Lepisosteus oculatus: one gene and its partner. The protein of the gene in region 2 interacts with the protein of the main gene of each other region in a pairwise test. Links are inferred from orthologs where the notes say so. Each region holds a gene or a part of one and is shown on either strand. Other genes may lie near its edges.

Region 1 (11,048 bases), on a different chromosome or scaffold from region 2:
ACAGTAGATTGCTTTTGATATTGTTTTCTTAAACTCATTACATTTTCTTATAATTTAGTATAGTGTTTGGATTTATGAAGATTATTTGTGCCATTAACATCATTAATTTTGTACTGGAGTTCAGTATGGTAATTGTGGAAAATTGTGTAATTGTGCTGTGTAATGTTATCATACTGCAAAAAATGTTGCTTTTAGTGCTTATAAGCTTAATTAGAATTCTAACAATATTTCTAGCAAAAAAACACCAGCACAAAAATCATATTGCTACATCAAATGAAAAATTAAACAATAGCTGAAAAAAAAAACACTCATTCAATGAAATGGTTATGCCTGCATAGAGGCAGAGAGAATGGATAGGTGGGGATTTGTTGGGCTGAGGTAAAGGTGCATATCATCTTCGACCCTGAGATGAACTCTGTATTTGTTCTTCATGTAAGTTAATGCTGGAAAACCAGACTCACAAAGAAAGGTGATGTGAACAATGTATTTTCATTTTGGATTAAGTTCTAAAATACAGGCAGTAGGCATTCAGGCAAATGCATGTGTTTGAAATGAGAATTGTTTAATAGAAAACAGAGAGTACACATAAGGGGTGAATGCTCAAACTGCAGTGAGTGAAGCAGTGATCTGTGCTGGAACTAGTGCTGTTTCTATTTTTTTCAATGATTTAGAATATCTTATAGTGAGTAAACTAGTCATGTTTGCAGAACACACCAAAGATTAAATTTAAGACTGGGCAAACACCTGGCAGATTTTAAAACAAGTGCATTGTTTTGCATACATATATCAAAAACATAAACTATAACTACAAAATGGGAAACATAGAGTTAGAATAGGCTACTTAAGAAAAAGACATAGGTGTTTATGTTGACACATAATTTACATATTCTAGACAATGTGGGGAAGCAAAAAGTTAACAAAGGCAAAAGTTACAGTATATGAATGGATGTCATGTTAAAATAATATAACACACTTGTAATTTTAACATTTTGGTTAGGCATTTGGACCAGCTTTGTTCAGATATATGGTGTGACCACTGAGAGAAGAGTCATTTAGGGAGAGGTAACTGATCTGAGGAAGACACTGGGTGCTGATAGAACATGGAAAGAGTATGTGTCTCTGGAATGGAGACTATGCTGATGCTGAGGAAATGATGAGGAGTTTCTGCAACTGAAGGAGTTAAATTTGTTTGGATTTGGAGCCCACTGCAAAGATGATGGAGGAACCTGAGGCTCAAAGAGGGAGTAACAATTTGGAAGGGAGTAGGAATGGGGGGCAATGAATGAGAAAAGACTGAAGGTATTGAGGCATAAAAATAAGAGAGGCTACATTGCAGGGAGGTGTGAGAATAGAAGTCACAAACAACAACTGGAGTATTTGTACCTTTAGTCACTGAAGTGGAGGGCAATATCACAGATAATGTTTTCTGGTTTACAGAGATACACTGGGAAGGTGGCCTTCAGAATTCAGAGTGACAGAGAGAGAGAGAGAGAACTGCATTGTTGGGAAACTGGATTATTTGTTGAGTTGACAGATGAAGGTGAAGTTGTGGGAGAGTGTAGATGGAAAAAGATGGCGGAAGGAAGCTGGGAGCTGTCACCGCACAAGGTGGGATTCTAGAGAGAAGAAGAAGAGGTGAAGAAATTAGAAGACAGGAAAAGTAGGGTTTTTAGAATGCTTGATGTTCAGGAAAGGATGGAAAGAGAGCATTGGACAGATAAAGAGGATGTCAGGGGTTAATACTGGAGTGAGCCAGGCACCTGAAGGGAAAGAAAAATTACTTGGAAAAGTAAAATATTGCTAAGGGCCGAAGGCATGGTGTGCTAGACACAGGATGTTGCAGATAACAAAAATATAGGAACAAGTAAAGGTTTATTCACACAACATTTTGGCAGTGTGACAATTTTCGCGTGTCACTTGAACTATAACAAAAATATGTCTTCCAAATTGGGTTAGAGATCAATTATCTGCTCAGTCAGAGGGAACAATAAGGTTTGGTTTCATTCGACATGTGAAAGGAGAGGGGATCCGTTGAGACTTGTACAGTAAGTTCTATCTCTTGTGAGATTGAAATCTGAATAGGATAGGATAGAAAGGTAGGGAGGGATGTGAAAGGAGAAGAGCCAATCATGGACACAGCATAATACAGTTGGCTTCCCAGTGGGCGTATAAGTGCCTATGGAGTAATAGAGCCGTTTTAGCAGAAGGTTGTGGTATTCAAAGAAATTAGAGCATATTGGGACACCAATATTACATTACATTGGGGAGTTAGGGGAAATCTATTTAGCTATGTTGGACACCAGGAGACAGTAGTACAGATTGTAGGACACCTACTAACACAGCTTAAGGTGGGATGCCAGACTAGACCAATGACCAAAGAGGTGGTGTCATCAGCTGCAGGGACTGAAAGTGGAAACTGGAGCTGAAAGATTAGAACCATTAAAGAATGAAAAGAATTCTTTCTTTCAGCGTATTTCATAAAAGAAATGCAGCATTTATGGAGGGTGTGTTAGAGCACGGCAACAGCTCAGTTGTTAACAGAAGGAAAAACTGTAATCAAAGGAAGTGATACAGGGTCTGTTTATAGAGGTTTGAAAGCAAGACTGATAAGAGACGACTGAGTCGAATATGAATATGATACTAAGACTGGTCATCAGACAACGAAGAAGCTAGCCTGGATCTGAAAAGGTCTTCATTCGAGTTATGGATCTAGACATCCATGGCTAAATGGTGAAGACAATGTTAAGAAAAAGATGCAGCAATAAACAATAAGTAGGAAGTAATCGACCACAGTTGCTTTGCCACATTATAATTATATTAAAGAAGAATGTAAGGAAAACAGATTTACAGCTTTTGGAAAAGTGGTGAAAACAAAATTGCTAATTTTGTTTTATTTTTGGTTTTATTTGGTCATTGAGTGCCTTTTACTTCTGTTATATGTAATATGCTTGTACTATTTTAGAGAAAATGAACGTTTTTGAGAATAACGTGTGTCACAAATTTTATGTCAATTATATTTGCATCATCTCAACATTTTTTTAATTGGTGGTGCTTATAAACTTCTTTAGAAGTAAATAGGGTATATGTTTCTTTTCCAGTGTAGCAGTTGTTAAGCTGGCACATGATATCTGTTACAAAATAAATTTACAACCATGTGAAATTGTTTTATTGCAAGCACTACCTTTCAAACTTGCTTGAAAAAGTCAACAGTTTGATACAGCTTATGTATAGTAGATGTTATGAAGATAATGATTAAAATAAAAAATAATAACGTGAATGTTAAGTGTTCGGGAATTAAATTGTTGAACAGTTAAAAGTTTTAAAATATTTTCTTTATATAATAAGCATTGCTTTTTAAATAAAATAACCTGAAGTGAAGCTAAATGCATAATAAGCATTTAAATTTACATATACAATTAAATAGTTGCTAAAGGTATCAATTTACACTTCATGTAGACTTCCACATGTACTTGTACATGTAGACGTCATGCACACTTCCACACTGTTTGCTAACTTGATCTGACCACAGCAAGACTAAAGTCTATTTCATTAACATACATATTTCTGTAAATCAGAAACAGAGGCCTTCATTGAATTATAAAAACACAGAAATGGTCACATTTTTCATTGAATGTGAATGGGGGTTAATATCATATTAAAATGTTTCCAAAAATACATTCTTAAGAAAAAAAGACATCTCAGCACAGATATCTATGTTCTGCAAAATACGTACAAATACATACATAATATGGAATCACACTTACCCCAGTGTAGAATCAATGTTTTCTGTAGGACCAGGAATGGAATGCATTGGATTAAGTAGACCGTTCTGTCTTTTATAATAAGGCAGAATAGAGTCATCATAAGCAAACCTTTTTACCATTAGGAAAGCCTACAGTAGGTGAGAACAGGATGAAAGTGATTGAAGTAAAGTGTATGCCTCTCAGTTTTAGCTTTCCCCCAGGTCAATAAAACTCTGTACTTTGAGTTCTGTATTGTCTTGATTTTTAAAGTTAATAAGTAATTCACCTGTGGGAAGGACATGTTGTTACTAAGGGGACAATGCTAAGTCAGCTGATGCTTTTAAGTAGCCCTGCACTATTTATTCATTGATTTGCTTGGTTATTATTCACAGGCAGCGGACACAAATATTTTTTAAATTTGTGTATTATTTGAAAGTTTGTGTTGAACCTTTTATTTTACAAACATGCAAACATATATTTAATGTAATTGAATTCTAAATGATTGTATATTACATATCTCATATATTACATACAGTATAACAAATGTAAATTTAAATCCAGTTCACAAAAAAGGCCATAATATAGACATATTTTTTCAACTATTTTGTACATTAAAAAAACAAAGGTGTATTGCTGTAAACTATGTAATCTGTAAATCACATCTCTAGGGCACATCTCTAGGGCACATATAATACTATACATTGTTTGACGCAACCTCCTACAAAAAAGAATTATACTACAGCAAAAAGCAGAGCACCTGGTTGTAGCAAGAAGTCTCAAGGCAGCAGGTTCTCTGGGGTATTTAAATCCTGATCAGACGTTTACTCCCTTTCACCTCCCAAGCCACTTTCCAGCTTCCCAGCAGAGCCCTTCTCGTTCCTCCTTTCCAGTTCTTTCTCTTGGAATCAGCCTAGGAGCAGGGCTTCTCCAGGCTGCTGAATGAGGAAGAGAGGTTGGGATTCTGCTTCAGACCAGACCTCAGCAGATGACTCCCTTGGCCCACTCTGTGGTGCATCTCCCCAGTCAGACCTGATAGCGCATGCTGGCCTGGTCTTTTGAGACAAACCCCCCCAAAAAAGTGTGCCCTAGTCAGCCTTGTAACAGGAACAGCATGAAGACGTGTGTTGTCCTGCTGAACTATTCTCATGTGAATGAGCCTGCAGGGAATGCAGGATCTAAGGTCCTAGGATTTGATCAATGTGTCACCAGCACGTGTCAATCACTTGTTGAGACATGGAGTTTCTGATGCTTTGTACCTTGCACTGTGAAAGCAATTACGAACATGGAGCATTATGATGGTCTAATCTATGTGAGGTGCTGTGACTCATGTTTTCACACTTTATGGTATGTTAATGATGGACTATGCTTGGCTGTAATGTCTTGTCAAATTAGAACTGACTGACTTTGAATAATTCAGACAATGAACAACAGCAAAAACATTGCTGGCTTGAAGGCATAGTTCTCTTGATAAATGGGGATTGTGGGTTCATTTCTATGTTTTCCTTCTTTTTCTCCCCAGAGTGGACATTGAAATAGATCCTCCTACCTAGGCAATGGAATTTAGAGGTTCAAAATACATCAATCATATTTTTCCATAAATTGGGAAAGTTGTTAACCAGCTGAGGTCAGATAGAACTGGATGTTTCTAGTCTTCTGTCAGAGTCACCACGCAACCACGCACTTGCCACATTCCAACGTGCATTGTTCACCGCAACTATCCAACCACTTTCCACCCTACTTAAGCCCTTCAACCGTACTATTCCTTGCTCACTATTGAGGAATACACACAGAGCCCTACTCTTCCCTTCGCTTGTTCTCTCCAGCGCTTATTGACCTCTCTTTTCCTTTCTTCCCTTCCTTCAACCCTATACTCTAACCTCACACAGGGTCCAATATACTGTACTATCTACTGGTGGACCAGACACCTTCCTTCCGTGGTTTGGTCCTCAACCATAGTTGTTCTCCTTTCCCTGATTATATGTGCCTAATAGAACCAGCTGGTCCTGTTTTATCCATGGGTAGGTATTAAACCTGTAATACATTTGCCCCATAAACAGCGGTAATCAGTGTAGAAAGATATCAATTGAACTTTCATCAAAACTTACGAGTTTCTCCTTGGAACCTATATAGTACAGCATATACTGCTCGAGGTTGCACCATGCAACTTAATCAGTCTAGCTGCAGTAATGTTGGATTAGACCACCTTCTCCCTGAGCTGTTTTCTTTTATAGTGTGAAATCAGCTTCCTGACAGCTGAAGCCAAGTTTCTCTAATAATCTCAAAATTAATGTGAATCCTCACTTATTCCTCTCTGTTGATTTCTTAAGTGTTCCTACACCATCTTCTAAAATTCTCCACCCATAGGTAGACTCCAGGCCCCTTTGCTGCATTATAATATTCCACATTATAATAACTTTTTGTGAATTTTTTGTACAGTAATATATCACCGTACGAGCAACCACTATACAAGTTTTGGTTATATGAAATGTAGTAATTCCTGTTTTTTTATTTATTTTTATTTAACAAGCAGATTTTCACTCTTACGAGCCGAGATCTTGTATGATTCTACTTTTCTGGCATCTTTTTGAAGATGAAGAGTTAAATTTTTTATACTTTGGTACCTTTTTTATAATAAAGGCTTGTTTGTTCTACTATAAGTACATATAGTACAGGCTAGTTTATGAATTAAGGACTGTCATCATGGAACTTCTATTAATGAGCAGGAGTCTTTTTTGTTTTCTGTTGTTTATGCATCAGCTAATGATTTTAAACATGTTGCTTGAATAATTAACCAGGGATGTTATTGTTTTACACTTAGAGTAGATGCTGTTCTGTGCTGTATTAAGGTGAAGTTTTTTTAGTTCTGGAGGTTCACAGGAAGTAAAGAGAATTGAATTTCCATGATTGAGTTTTCACCTTAAGAGTAATGAATTACTTTCACCTCAAGAAATGAATTAAGTTAGTATAATGAGGGATTACTATATTTACAAATGATAAGTTACTATGTTGAATATAAAAAATGGGATTTTGAACAACAGGATCTTGAAATTTCCTTTACTATGTTAATACAGTATCACATCATTTATAGTATGTGTTACAGATGTGAAAGTAGATTTTTTTCCTTTTTATTAGTGAAAAAAGATAAGGATACACTACTATAACATAATTATAAATATAATATTAATTCGTAGCTGTATTGTATCATTTAGCAAAACAAACTACACTGACATAATGTGTTTAGTTGTCTTAAGACACAAATAAGACTTTCAAAACCAAAGAGAAGGACATTTGGGTAATCCTGTGATGAGAGGGATAAGATAGAGATCCTATTCCAGTTAATACTTTCAGGTTTCACTCATATGATATTGAGCTGTACTGTATGTTAAGGAACAGGTAACGGGTTTATTTCATGCTGAATAGAAAAGAAAGGAAACACAAGGTTTCGGCCATGGAGTCTTCTTCAGGTGTGTACTGTATGTTGTTTATCTTTGAAGAAACACATTCAGACATGGATAAAAAAGATTACTGCAGAGATAGTGATCCTGAGAACCCATCAGCTATACTGATGGGATCCGAGAAAATGACTATGTGCAGGATACCACAGCATCTCTGTCATGATCAGCTTTGTTTTGCCAATAGTTTTTAAATTGTACAGTTTTTAATTTCCAGTCATAAAACAATGTAGTTAAAACTGATATTGCACTGACATCAATCTAAACAGTCACCAGAAGGAGGTCAGTTTCACATATTTATGTAACAGTATAACTGTAAACAAGGACAAATTACATTTCATCTTTCATTTCATTACACTTCTAATTCAGTTACAGATTTTTTTAAAACAAACTCCAACTAATTATAAGTGATAAATATGAATTTAGTCATTAATGTCTTGGTGGGATGGGAGCTGTGTAGTGAAATATTTATGCCAGCTCAAACACATCCATAAACTAAACGAATCTATTTTACGTTTTCATTGATTTATTAAATTGTATTATTATTTCATTATTTGATTTACTTAATACTAGTTGTTAAGCTTTTAGTTAACAGTAACTATTAGCTAACAGTGACATCTGATAATGTTTTTAAAATGGACAGCAATGCAATACAATTTCTACTTAGTGTATACAAGCTTTTTGTGGCAAAATTAATACAGTTGAAATTTGTTTAAATACTATTTGAACTTACAATAAAATTATGTAATGCTAAAGTTATGAAACTCAGATCTAATTTCTCCATCATAATCTGGCAGATATACTGTAATAGTGGACTAGCTATCAAAGACAGATTTATAATTTGTCCATTCTCATGCTTGTCTGAGTATTCTGCAATACAGTGAATCCTTCTATAATTAGAACAAAACAGCTTTTAATTCTTTATAGGATGACACTAATAAAACCAAAGAGCTCTGTAATCCTTTGGGTATCATAAAGGGTAATGGGATCCGGCATACATTATTTATTGTGAATAAAGAAGACTTTAGCATATCCATTATTCAGTACCCTATTTTAAGATTTCTATGTGTGAAGCATATAATGCAGAAGAATTTTACAGTTTTCTATTATCTTACCATCTTGATGTCTGGTGTGGAACACATGTAAAAACTTGTTTAAGTTTTGGAGGTTTAAGTGTGTAATATGTGTTACCTGAGTTGTTAAAACTCTTTCATTTGCCTGATTTATTAGAAGCAGATGGTTACCAGGCACACATTGTCACACATCCCAAGTAAATTGCAAAAACATTTCAGAATATGATGTCCCTCTAAGACATGTATTACTACTTCATCACGGAAACACAGCTAGTTGATTGTTAGTTCATGTCTAATACATGCCTTATTAGTGATGCATGAAGGGTTTTTATTACTGACAAAAGGGACTATAAGTAGACTATACAGTAGGTGTTAGACTAGGTTTTGTATAATTAAATATAATTACCAAGCTATCACTATTTGTATGTGTGTGTTGTCCATCTTCTGTTAAGTAATAGTATATCCTTCATGAAAAATAACAGATAACACATGCTATAGTAGCTCCTCCTCTTCTGAAGTGTTCTCTAACTTCCTTTTATAGAATTGTTTTCTGAGCCTGCAGGAGTATGCAACATAGCCTTATCTGCAGGTGGCTGGCCCCGGCCACCCTTTCAGCTTCAATGAGCTCTTCTGCAGCTGGTTCTATTCTTTCCACCCTGTGGAATGGTTAATTTATGGTTCTTTTTCTTCCTACAAGGTCTGAGAGAATTCTGTTGGTCTTATGCTCACCCTCTCTTATTTTTTGGAGAGTTAATCTAGATTCCCCTCCCTTCCTACTTCAAGCTGCTTTGCTCATTCTATAGCAGGTGAACAGCACTGAGTTTTTTTCTTGGCACACAGTACACCAACTGCACTGACAAATATGTACTGAGTACTCGGTTCTTGTACTGAGCTACATTGATTAAGCCGAGATAAAGATTTCTGAGCAGAAATGTACTGTTGGCTCCAATGAGGGTTTTCTGTGACAAAGAGGACATTGCACTGAGGTACTCTGTTTACTCCAAAGTAACATGGCCACAATGAGGTATCTTTTCTGCCTAGATGATGATTGAACTGGGGAAGGCTTCCTGTGAGTGTGAACTGAGGTTTCCTATGTTGAAGAATAGGGTGTCCCACAGTCCTATTTGTACCAAAGTACTTTCTCTGTATTACTGAATAACAGAGATGTGTTGAAAAAACATGAATAAAAAATTAAAGAGTGTTTCCTTTATCCTATTGACAGATATTACAGGTCTTTTGTCTTTTGATCAGGAAGATGTTTCATTGCTGATGCTGTTTCCTGGAGACAACTCACATAACCAGTCTGCCAGTGACTGGGACAAGAGCTTGCTTTCCTGGTCTTGAAGGGGTTTTCTCCCTTTTACTTTTAACTTTTACTTTCATTTTTCAGATCAGATGAAGTGCAGAGCTGGACATTTCTCATCCATAGATTAAGTCCTGGTCCCAGATTTGACAGTACCGCTAAATCCCAGCTTTCTTTTTCATCTCATTCTTTGGATCAGGAAACACACCACGTGACAAATCTTTTATGTCATTGTGAGCTGGAATTCAAGAATATACATCACAGTTATTTTTGGCTCCAGGGAAGAGAGGAGTCTTTCTAGGTTTCCAACAACTGATTTGAGAGCTAGCATTGAAATATTTTATTTCATTCTGCACAATATATCCATTTGAAATAGGATTTTCTGCTGTGTTGATTGTAAAATACAAGTAAACGTCAACAGGTAAAATACAGGTAAACGTCAACACTAAGTTTAGACCCAAACCTTCAGCTGAAATTTACCAACATATCACCTGACTTTGCCAGCAATGATCAGTCAAGAAACAACACACTTCCAGGACAGACATTTCTGAAAGCAAATCTGAAAGGGGAAGGGAACAATTGTCTTATATAACAGCTATTGTAACAGATACTAGAAATGCTTTATCAAAGCTTATATTGTTGATCTTATACTTGTATTTTGTACATAGCTGAAAAAGGCTGTGTGCAAACTAGGAATTGTAACAGATAGGCAAGTCCGGTATGTGTGAGGATATTACCATTTCTGTGGTTTTACCTCAGTTTTAAGACTGAGGGCTAAGATGGGCTCTGTGCCTTTTTATGGTAGGAGCTCAGAGAGATCATTTGTTTACTTGTAATACACATGCCCCAAACGTACAAGACAGTCAACCAATTGGAATGTCCCGTACATGGTCCACTCTTATGTGATCTTATTTTTACCTTTCTCATGCTAATATATTGAGAGACATTAAAAACACAACAAATGAGCACTGAAGCCAAGAGCATTGCTGCTCAGCTAAAAAATAGTGAAGTAGTGTGGAAAGATCATGTCTTTTTAAATATCTTTATATGTATCAATTTTCTAATCTGTTTATCCTGTACAGACTAATGGAGGAGCCAGAGTCCTGTGGGAATCATTATTGTTATAATGTTGGTAAATATTATAAAGAATTTATACTGATTTATATTGAGAAATTATTATGAATAATTTAATATTAGAATTTGTAAGAATAAGAACTAGAGTAGTTTCTGCACTGTATCACATAACATTTTGTTTGAAAGCTTGTGGTAAATTGCTCATAATATCCACTCATAAATCATATTACATATTGTACTGACATGTGAACTTAAAACAAAACCTGATCTTGATAAAACCGTGATGAAACAATATATGACATTTTAATGACAGATGTGATACCAGTAAGTAAAAGATGTGGCTGTTAATGTTCAATTGTGTAACAGAAATAGATAGAAATTTAACACATACTGTATACAATAA
Region 2 (10,238 bases):
GGGCAGCGATGGGGCAGCCAAGGAACTCTCAGAAGAAAGACTGAGCCCTAGTGCCCAGACTAGCTAGTTAAGCCTGGGTCTAGTTACTAGCTGACTGTGACTGAGACATCCCAAGTGGAGGTGGCACACAGTCGGCAGATTCCCGTAGTGGGGCAGAAGTGAAGTTAGTCAGCCAGGGTCTTTCTGGCTAGCGGTGATGTCAATATGGGACATGCTACACCTCCAGGCAGCACTATGTCAAACACTTCAGCATGTCAAAGTGACTCTACATTTGGGCAGGTCTATGCGCGTAGGGAATTTCTCAGAAGTCACGCTATTATGATTGCAGCTAGAAAAACTTTCAGTCTCCAGCCTGAAATGATAGAGGAGCAAATATGGCCAAATAACATTTAAATCTTATTATGTGATTTAGTGTGATGATTTGTGACAAAAAAAATGATGTATTAAGGCAGCTATGGAATAGATTGGTAACCAGTATGTTGCTCTACCATTAATCCTTTTTTAAAAATCAGCATGTCATTACAGTTCAGTCTCTGCCAGGCGACAGTGAAAAGGAGTGTTTTAATTGTGCCTACTTGAATTCACTTTACTTGTAAAGTTGTGGAAAGCTTACAAACCTAACTGCAGTGTGTAAAGATCTAAAGCTTTATTGTGCAGTCTGAACACTGAAGCCCCATCTAACTGAAAAACAGTGGTTCACACTGACAGTACTCACTGTACGTATATGTTGTTTCAGTCTTCCGTTCGCCATTTTCTTCATAGTCCCTTGGGGGAAAAGGATGAAACAGATTACCAGCTAATGCAGCATTTGTGAAGTGTAATTATTCTGCTTTCTTTAAATAGTACTACTAATCAACTATACTATATATGATTGTTTTAAACTGTTACAGGCTTGACTTGTTAAAGATGCTTGTTTAAAAGAAGAAACTGATCAATAATAAAAAAGAAAATGCCCGTTCAAACTTCAGTTAGAACTCGGCATGTGAATAACTAAGCAAACAACTTCTGCAAGACAGTGAGAAACACTATTTTCAGTTTCACATACAGTATCCATACCTCTATCAGACACTGAAATACAGCATGTGGTACATTGAGCCGTGGTATTCGGAGACTATGAAATTTGTTTTGCAGAACATTATTAAAAATGGGTCACTTACTTGAGAACATTTTTTAATTTGATCATGTATTTGTGAATGTACAGAAAATTCTGATTTCATGTGCATTTTTAAGGTTTGCTAAGGTATATCCCCGAAACTTTGGAGGTTAGCCTTGAATGGACAGGGTTGTGGAGGGGAAAATCCCTTTACAGAAGGTTGATTATTCCAGGTAGGAGTCACAATGACGAGACACCAATCCCAGAAGCCCAGGGTGCAAACTGGGACTACACCCTGGACAGCACGCCAGCTCACTGTAGGACACATCCACCCAAAGATGTGCAACAAAGATAGAGAGATCTGTTAACCTAGCTTGTTATTTCTTTATGAGCAGGAAGAAAAATGAAGCACCTGGAGGCACCACACAGACACAGGGAGTGAAGGAAAAATATTCTGATGAAACTGGCCAAATTATACTCAGATCTTTTACAAACATTTAATTCATAAAAAGAAAGCACTGATATTCGCACTGTATAATGACGTTAAGCTGTGGGTGGGTGTATTATGATACGTTGGCAAAGTGATCATGGGGTACTCTCCACTGTTCTCCCGTGTTGCACTATGACAGGCTGTGCTGTTGACACAGCGTCCTGACAACAGTGTGGTGCTAGAGTTGTGCCTTCAGCCTCTCACCGGCTCTCTTGGTACTCCACCCACTGGTACATTTCAACCTCCCGCTTCAGCTTGGCTGCATGGACGCTGATTCTGTAGTTAGGGTCGTTCAAAGGCTGCAACAAGTCACACGTTTCATTCTCAGGACTTAACAGCACTTAGACAGGCAACATACAGGTACAGTACATGAATGTGGGTCCTAGGTGGAGTTTGAGTCCAGTACTCACAATGGTACAATGTGCAATAGTCTCAGTCGGTGCTTATTTTGGTCAAAAGGCTACCTTTGTGCCACACTTACCTGGATACACTGTATTTTTAAATCTTACCACTCTTTCTCTTACATGTAGTCCAATAAAACTTGACATTCTTGCTGCCATATCACCCTGCAACTCAAAACTGGCAGCCCACTGAAGCTAAGTAGGTGTGAGCCTGGTCAGTACCTGTATGGGAGACCTCCCAGGGAAAACTAAAGTTGCTGCTGGTAGAGGTGTTAATGGGTCCACCTGCAGTCTGTGTGGGTCCTAATGCCCCAGTATAGTGACGGGGACATTATACTGTAAAAAGACACTGTCCTTCGGATGAGATGTAAAACCAAGGTCTTGACTTTCTCTTGTCATTAAAAATCCCAGGGCATTTCTCAAACAAAGTAGGGGTGTAACCCCAGTATTCAGGCCAAATTCCCTCCTGGACCAATTATGTCCTCCTAATAATCCCCATCTATGAATTGGCTCTGTTCTCTTCCCCACTGATAGCTGATGTGTGGTAAGCGTTCTGGTGCACTATGGCTGCCGTCGCTTCATCCAGGTGGATGCTGCACATTAGTGGTAGTGGAGGAGAGTCCCCATTACATGTAAAGCGCTTTGAGTGGAGTGTCCTGAAAAGCGCTATATAAGTGCAAGCAATTATTATAATTATCATTAATGATTAAACAGTGTTTCTTTTAATTCAAAGTTTTCCTCCTAGCAGGAGGGGCCTGACAGCTATGCTGCCTACAGTACCTGAGGTGTCCGCAGGGGCCCAGACAGGTGCACCAGCTTTCCATTGTTCTGAGGGTCAACACTATGAATATTGTCCAGAGGCACCACCAGAGACAGGCCCTCATCTAGGGAAGCTGCCGTCTTCAGAGCCCTTCCCTGAGCAGAGAGACAATATACTCTTACTGGGCACCTTCAATGTACAGTTAGCTGCACTTTTTATTTTTCGCAAAGCAGTTAAAACCAGTTAAATTACTGTAAGTTAGAATGCAGGGAGAATCCCAGCTGACAGACTCAAAAGGCTTTTGTTATTTCAAATATATTAGACTGTGCCTGAAATACAGCAAGGAATTAATCTTCTCAGTCATCACCAATGAAAACCTTTAGAGCCGTGTTAGCTAGGGCAGGGTGTACAAGAATGGACTAGATCTTGCACATTATAAATGTGTATGTTAAGCCATCTTAAAATGAAAAGACAATAGCATTTCTACTACATGAAACGCAAGTGTCAAAGGGTCTGTTCCTTTAAATGTGGTTGCCCCAGCAGCTCATGCTGCTGACGATTAGCTTGATTTCTGGTACCTCGTTAGTGAAGAGTACATAAAAAGACAGGGCAAACAGCCCGATGCCAATCAGCATTCCTCCGCTTGTCTGGCTCAAGCGCTCGAGGAATCCAGCGTTTCTATGGCTTGTCACTTTCACATGCTGGTCCTTCCTCTGTCCTTGGGAAGGCTGCTGAAATAAATCATAAAAATAAAACATTTAAGCCCACATTCACCTTCGCTAACAAGAGGCAGCATGCTTATTAGGTCATTTCTATAGCACGGAATTTGTAAGTGTAATGTGTGTCCGTAATACAGTATGTTAAGAGCATGTGAAGTGGGCTATTTAAGTGCACAACCATTAAAAAAACATTTTTTAGCCAATCTACTCTAAGATTGAACCTCACACTTTGATAGACTTACTGGATACCTTTTAAAACATGTATGAAAAAAAGTCTCTAACCCCATCCCTATATACCTCCTTCATTCTCCAAAGACCATACCTCACTATTTAAGTGTAATTATTATTAAAAGTGTACCTTGTGGTTTTAAGATGTGCTTTATAGTTTGTTTAGTGAATTCCACAACTCTCTCCCATTACTGCCTGGTACAGCTCTGATAGCTAAATGGGAAAGTTTACAAACAGCGCATTTTGCAGAAGAAAATTAAATAAGTGCCATACATGTAACCGTGTTACTTGTAAACGATGAAAAACATTTTCATCGGTTTTTTTTCAAGGGTTAAAATTATGGTTTAAAGGTAACAGCACCTTCAAAAAAGATCAAAATGTTTTCGACGCAAGGAAATATGAGCATCAGTATCATAACTTAATCCAATCATTATTCGATTTTCAGTTTCTATTCACCGTGTCTTACATTTTCGTGCCTTAAACGCACAAGTCTAGGTAAATTAAATACTTCACTTACATTAGCGGCCGACATTGTGTTGATCTCCGCCCTGAGTTATTCAATTTCTAAAATAAAACAGTAAAACGTCCGTATATACGATGGATGTGAGAATAGCACAAAAACTAAATAATTTCGGAGTTTTGTGAATGATCTGTTGGGATTTGCATTCGCTCAAAACAAACTGCTTCCAATTAAACCACCTATTCAAACAAACCCGAAGTTCAAAACCGGAAAAATTTGGACGTTCAGGGTTTAAAATAATTACGTTCCTTCGGCGTCTGCGCGATTGCAAGACCGTCGCCGTTCGCTTTTCCAATTTGTCAACTGTTGTGTGCGTTGGCGCAGCGAGGTTTTCTGGGAACTGTAGGCTGTACATGTAACGTATGACCATCCGTTATACTAGTATATCTGTTTTTACTTGTTATGTGAAAATTCAAACATTAATCCAGTGAGTTTTAGCTTTTTCTAAAACTATGCAACCAGATAACGATTAGCCGTGGGTGTTTCGGAACGTGCAAGCAGTGCAGAAATAATAGCGTCCCTTTTCAAGTAAATGACTATAATATTATGTTGAAAACATTTTCATATACACCAGCTTTACTAAAGTCAACAGTTAATCTCTGTTACAAACTTCCCAAATATGTCTTTGGTTAGGTGAGCAGGTAATTAATTCAGCACTAAATCATGACCCGATAGTACGTGACAACTACTCTTGCATTTATTAAATTAGAATATGTGTGCTGACCTTTTTTCAAATGCAGCTATGTAGCTTACATGTGTTAAAATATAACTGAAAATGTTATTATTTATCATTAAATATCCTATGTTGCCACAATGAAATCAATTACAAATCAGTCCAAGACTGAATTTATTAATAGATTAATGGGTACAATAATTTAGTACAAATAAATTAGTATAAAAGGTGATACATTGGAGATGTGAATTAAGGAAACTTAGAATACTATTCTAAGTAGATAATACTATTATCTTTTTTTCTAGTGTACAACTACAGGACATTTGAAGAACCGACTTCATTTAAATAATCAAGTGGGAGAATACAGAGCTGCTACTTCAGAGAGAGATTAAGACGTTTTAGAAAAAACAACACCAAAAAAAACAGAAAAGTACAAAACACAAGCTTTTTTATTATTATCTCTAAAAATATGTTTTGCGTTAAAGAATATTTTAATTACAGATTATATGTAAGCAGATACAAACTTCAATTTTTAAGCAATGATATGTATCTTAATAGTTTCTAGCATAAACACACAAAAAAGCACACGCATACAACCTGACAATATAAAACCAGTCAAAAGCTGACATAACTAAAAACGTGAAGACCTGTGTTTTATCACATGGTTGCAGTCCAGTACATTTTTTGAATGACAGAGTGGTAAAATGCAACAGCAATAATTCAACATTATTCTCCCTGAACCACTTTTCCGAGATTCCAAGCTTCGTCTCGGAATCAGATACCCAGGTGCTCGTGGTTTTCCCGGAGCCATGCATGATACAAGTTCAGCTTGTGATCTTGGGGATCAACCTAAGAAGATAAACATGGATAAAAAATCGACAGTTACCGTCACATTTTTCCAATCCTGCTTATGTGTCCATAAAAAAACAGGGCCCGTATCATGTCTGGATAACTCTGTCATCCATTTTTGTGATTACACTGGATAGAGTTCTTAATCAATGAGTCCAGCTGCCCCCAACTCACCTGTTTCCATTCATTGACACAGAATATCCTGTAGGAGTCGTTGCCATACTTTCCTATACCATGGAGCTCGATGGGGTACTTCCAGTGTTTTGTTAAGTATTCATCTGCAATGGCAAGAATCTGAAATGTAAGCCTTTCGCACCTGTACAGAGTTCAAAGGCTTTACGAGAGCAAAGGTTTGTTCTCCTACAAGAGTCTGCTATCTAAGCAGGTGCAAAACCCCAGTCGGTCACATTGGTGCCAGTAGAGAACAGGATCAAAATGAGGTCACACACAAAACTGGAGAGAACTCTTTCAAGTATCATCAGAGACTTATACTGTGCTCTTTTTACCTTGTGTGTCTGCTGAAAAGTGAAAATTTCACATTGGTTTTCTAATACACAATGTACAGTAGATGGAGGGCTGATTATAAAATCATTTTGACTATGACTGATTGTGATGGGCAGGGTGAAATTAGATAAGCGTCATTATTACATCCTTTGTTAACCACAACATACAGTGGTTGTTATCCATAGTCTGTGGATAATAAGCAGAAACTCCCTATCACCCAATTATGACAGGGGTGGTGTGGTGTGTCTGTGGCTAAGGAAGTTGGGGTATGCGAAAATACAAATTCCTAATACAAGAAATTGCATATGGCCAATAAAGTGTTTTATCTTATCACAAAGTGAGCTTAGTGCACTACACTCCAAATACAACATACTTACTTCTGCAAATCGTATGATTACACTGATGAAAAGAAAAACATGGAAAAATAATCCTCAACATAATCAGAATATTATGAACATTCAGTTTTATGTAGTTCAGGACTATGGTGAAGAAATCCATCCTTACATCTGTTTTCTAACCGGTTCTTCTAGTTCAAAGTACCAGCACAGAAAGAGCTTACCCTGGCAAGCAACAGGCACAAGGCAGGGTACACCCTGGATGGGATGCCACCCCACCACAGGGCAGATAGGCACCAACACACACACGCATACAACTCACACCTAGGACTTGTTGAAGAAATCACTGTGACACACAAATTGCTTAACATACTGTAGCTACAGTATAGTGAGAAATACATAATTGCTTCTTTTTTGGTTTAAAACATTGTATCACTCACCTGAAAACCTCACAATTGTTTTGGCTCTGAGTTCATTGAGGCCCAGAGGTTTCAGCAGTTCAGCCATTTCTTTCCAGTCGCTGACACGGGCCACCTCAGGAGACGGGTAACGCCCAAAGAACTCCCACAGCACAGGGATTGCCATCTTACCTAAAAGAAAGAGTCTCTTTACTTTCAACTGACAGAAAGACAGAACTGAACCGCGCCCCACATCCGAACCTAGTATTTTAGGTTAGCTCTCTGTGAAGGGAATTGTCTCATTGTCCTGTTCTGTTTGAAGCCACAACTCTTACCGCTGGTTCTATTGAGGAAAATGGTGGCTATCAGAAGCTTCCAGGGATCATGGAAAAGAGTCTCCTGTACCAAGGCAAAAGGAGAGCGAGGCGGAGTCCATTTCTTAAAGGCCTTGCGTCTGGGTGGACTTGGAGCTAAGAAAAATAAAGTGAACATGTTTCATTTGGGAGAGTTGTCCTTTTTGTTCCTGGTAAAAGTTGAAAATGATGTTTCCTTACCTTCTCTGGCTAATTTTCCAGTGAAGTACTGGCTTGTTTTTCTTTTCTCTGACAGCATTTTTATGCCACAACCTGAAGGTAAACAAAACAGTACCAGATTCATTGATGGACTTGGACAATATTTCAATGTTTCTATCTAAGGTTTTCTTAAGCCTTCTCCTTTTGTAACTGAATATACTGTCTATTTTCATTGCAAAACATATCAGGCCACGATTCCTATTCGGTTTGGAGAAACCCCTCAATGTTCCCCAGAACGTTAAGAGCTATACTCAAAGATTTAACTTTATGCTTACTGCTTTGCTGCTGTTTCACTGATGTAAATGTCCCCGAGTCCCCCGGAGGAAGTGAATCACCATCTTCTAGCGCAGACTCAGTTTCAGGTCCGACAACAGCTTGCTGTGTCTCTGCAGCGTTCTTAGACACAGGCTGTAAGGCACTTTTCCCTGGGGCAGAGGCCTCAGGCTGGTCACACACCACTTCTCCCGACTCATTTTCACCTTCTGGGGAAAGTGCGAGCTCTGCTCCTTTATCCGCTTCACTTATCTGGGTCAGTCTGAGAAGCTTATCCTTTAAAAGTCCCTTTTCAGTCTCTTTTTGATCTCCAGTGTGGTTTGCAATTTGATTTTCTCCTCTTTCACCGCTCACAGTCAGTGCGTTTACGTCATTTACCTCACATTCCTGTGCCAGTCTGAGAAGCTTGTCTTTTAAAAGCCCCCCTTGAGTCTCTTTTTGGTCTCCAGTGTGGCGTTGACTTTGCCCTTCTTCCATTTCACTGCCCGGAGTCAGTTTATTTCCCCGTTTGCCCACTGCTCTTTCAGCACCGGCTTTTCTAACCCTACTGCTGGGATCCTTCCTCTGTTTCTGTCCTCTCTGTGGTCCTGCGGGAGTGAGCTTTGTCAGTGAGTGCCGACGTTTAGCCCTGGCTCTGCAACTTGTGCTTTCAGATTCTGAAGACTTGGATTTCTCAGCACAAGGCGCAGAAAAGACCCCGTCAGTGGCAGCATCATGTCCAGACAGCTCTTCTGACACACTGCTGGGTGACAAGTGTTCCTCTTCGGCTGTAATCTTAATGTCAGTTGTGCTGTCCAAGACGGTTTCTGAAAGTTGGAGAGCTTTCTTCTTTTTTGTCCTCTGAGGTTTTGTTAACTGTTTGTCCTTCCCAGGTACAGAGAAATCAAAATCTGCACCCTTGAGACAGAGTTCTTTGTTATTCTGAAGGTAGACATGGAGTGAAGCTCTTGATCTGAATTTCCCTCCCTGTGGACTGAGTACACCAAGTGTTAATTCCTTTGGTTCAAAACAAAATACGTCTCATATATATATATATTGTTCTCAGATCTGACTAACAGTTACAAAAACAACTGTACAAATGTATTTTTAAAAGCTTGTTTTTCTATATGGTAATGCATAGGGACCATTCTCTCAGACATGCAGACTGCAATAAACATGAGTAACAACATCTATGTACAGCAACAAGAAAATAGAACCTGAAGTGTTGTGCCTCTTTTTAACACAGGTTTGAGCATTGATGTAGATATAATTACTTTATAAACATTTGTAAAAACATTTTTTAGAGGATGTTATTGACCAATCATAATTGTTCATTTTCAAATGCCCTTGTGCTTATCTAAAATGGGGAAGATGTATTTGGGATCATATAGACACTTGTACTATATTTATAACCCAGTACCTGATGATATATACGTCTACTTTCCCTGCCGTTTTTCCAGATCGCCTCTGTTTCACCATTTTAACCCAGCCTGGCGGGACTCCGAGACAGCAGCAGGTCTCCATACACGAGTCGGGGCTGGGACTCTGCTTTGGTGCAGCTTTCTCTTGCTGGTCCTCATCTGACAAAGAGGGCTCTTCACACGCTATTGCTTCTGTGGTAGCAGTTTCACTAGGTTTGGAAACAAAACACACAAGTTTCCAAAATGTCTAGTTACAAAAATGTTGTCTATGAGACTAGGATAACCCCGTGCAATACTATAAATCCCTGTAACATACGGTATATAGTACCACAATTAGCTATTTAGTCACGAAACCTGCCTTTAAAATTAATACACATGCATTTCATAGCATGTCAACCAAAAATAAAATATATACAAAACGTTTTTACGAATATAGAAAATGTACTGAAAATGTGTTCTGCTTATGTTAAATTATAATGGCCATAGATAAGAAAAGCATAGGTACAATATAAGCAAACAATTAAACTCTGACTAACAGTATATATCATTAAAATAACTGGACTAATACAGCTTTTAGATCACTTAGCTGTTTTGCTTTCTTACCTGACAGTAGTTCTGCTATTAAGATCATCCATCCGTAAACGCGGTAACTCAAATTCATGCATAAACTGAATCCGTAAACGTAAAAACTAACACACAGTCATGCTGATTTAGATCAGTGTTCCATCGTTAAAATGCTACCGCTCGACGTATTAGAATTAAAAAGATGGAATTACAATAACTCTGCTTTGGAATAAAACCGTGATGCTTGACACTTTCCTGTATACTTCTCCTGTCGCACATGCGCAGACCGCTCAGCAAGCTACATGCAGTGTGCGCATGCCCAGTGTGACTCCGAGATGTAAACAGTGTGATTGCGGAAAGAAGTGGGTTCTCTACATTGTTAGTTTGCTTTGAGGAAGGAAAGTGTAGAGCAGCTCTTGCTAAAACAGAACCACGATGAGAGCCGTACCGACATGGATA

What was found. The genes of interacting proteins can lie anywhere in the genome.
Region 1: the proteins of transmembrane protein 43 (region 2) and gramd2b interact in binary tests that used the Homo sapiens proteins (3 or more experiments, as listed by UniProt). The two-hybrid records come from large-scale screens. The link is inferred for Lepisosteus oculatus from reciprocal best matches to the Homo sapiens genes TMEM43 and GRAMD2B.

The regions. Positions count from the first base shown.
Region 1 is NC_090698.1:51,489,997-51,501,044, forward strand, and holds the start of gramd2b (GRAM domain-containing protein 2B), read right to left. Parts: upstream 3,936-11,048; 5' UTR 3,884-3,935; coding exon 3,765-3,883; intron 1-3,764.
Region 2 is NC_090699.1:55,801,339-55,811,576, reverse strand, and holds the start of transmembrane protein 43, read right to left. Parts: upstream 4,492-10,238; 5' UTR 4,224-4,491; coding exon 4,209-4,223; intron 3,476-4,208; coding exon 3,323-3,475; intron 2,900-3,322; coding exon 2,765-2,899; intron 1,883-2,764; coding exon 1,788-1,882; intron 766-1,787; coding exon 716-765; intron 1-715. Other genes in the region: mbd4 (methyl-CpG-binding domain protein 4), read right to left, coding at 5,659-5,733, 5,908-6,011, 7,013-7,162, 7,306-7,440, 7,525-7,596, 7,818-8,788, 9,215-9,424, 9,819-9,880; ift122 (intraflagellar transport protein 122 homolog), read left to right, coding at 10,215-10,238. UniProt on the Homo sapiens protein: May have an important role in maintaining nuclear envelope structure by organizing protein complexes at the inner nuclear membrane. Required for retaining emerin at the inner nuclear membrane.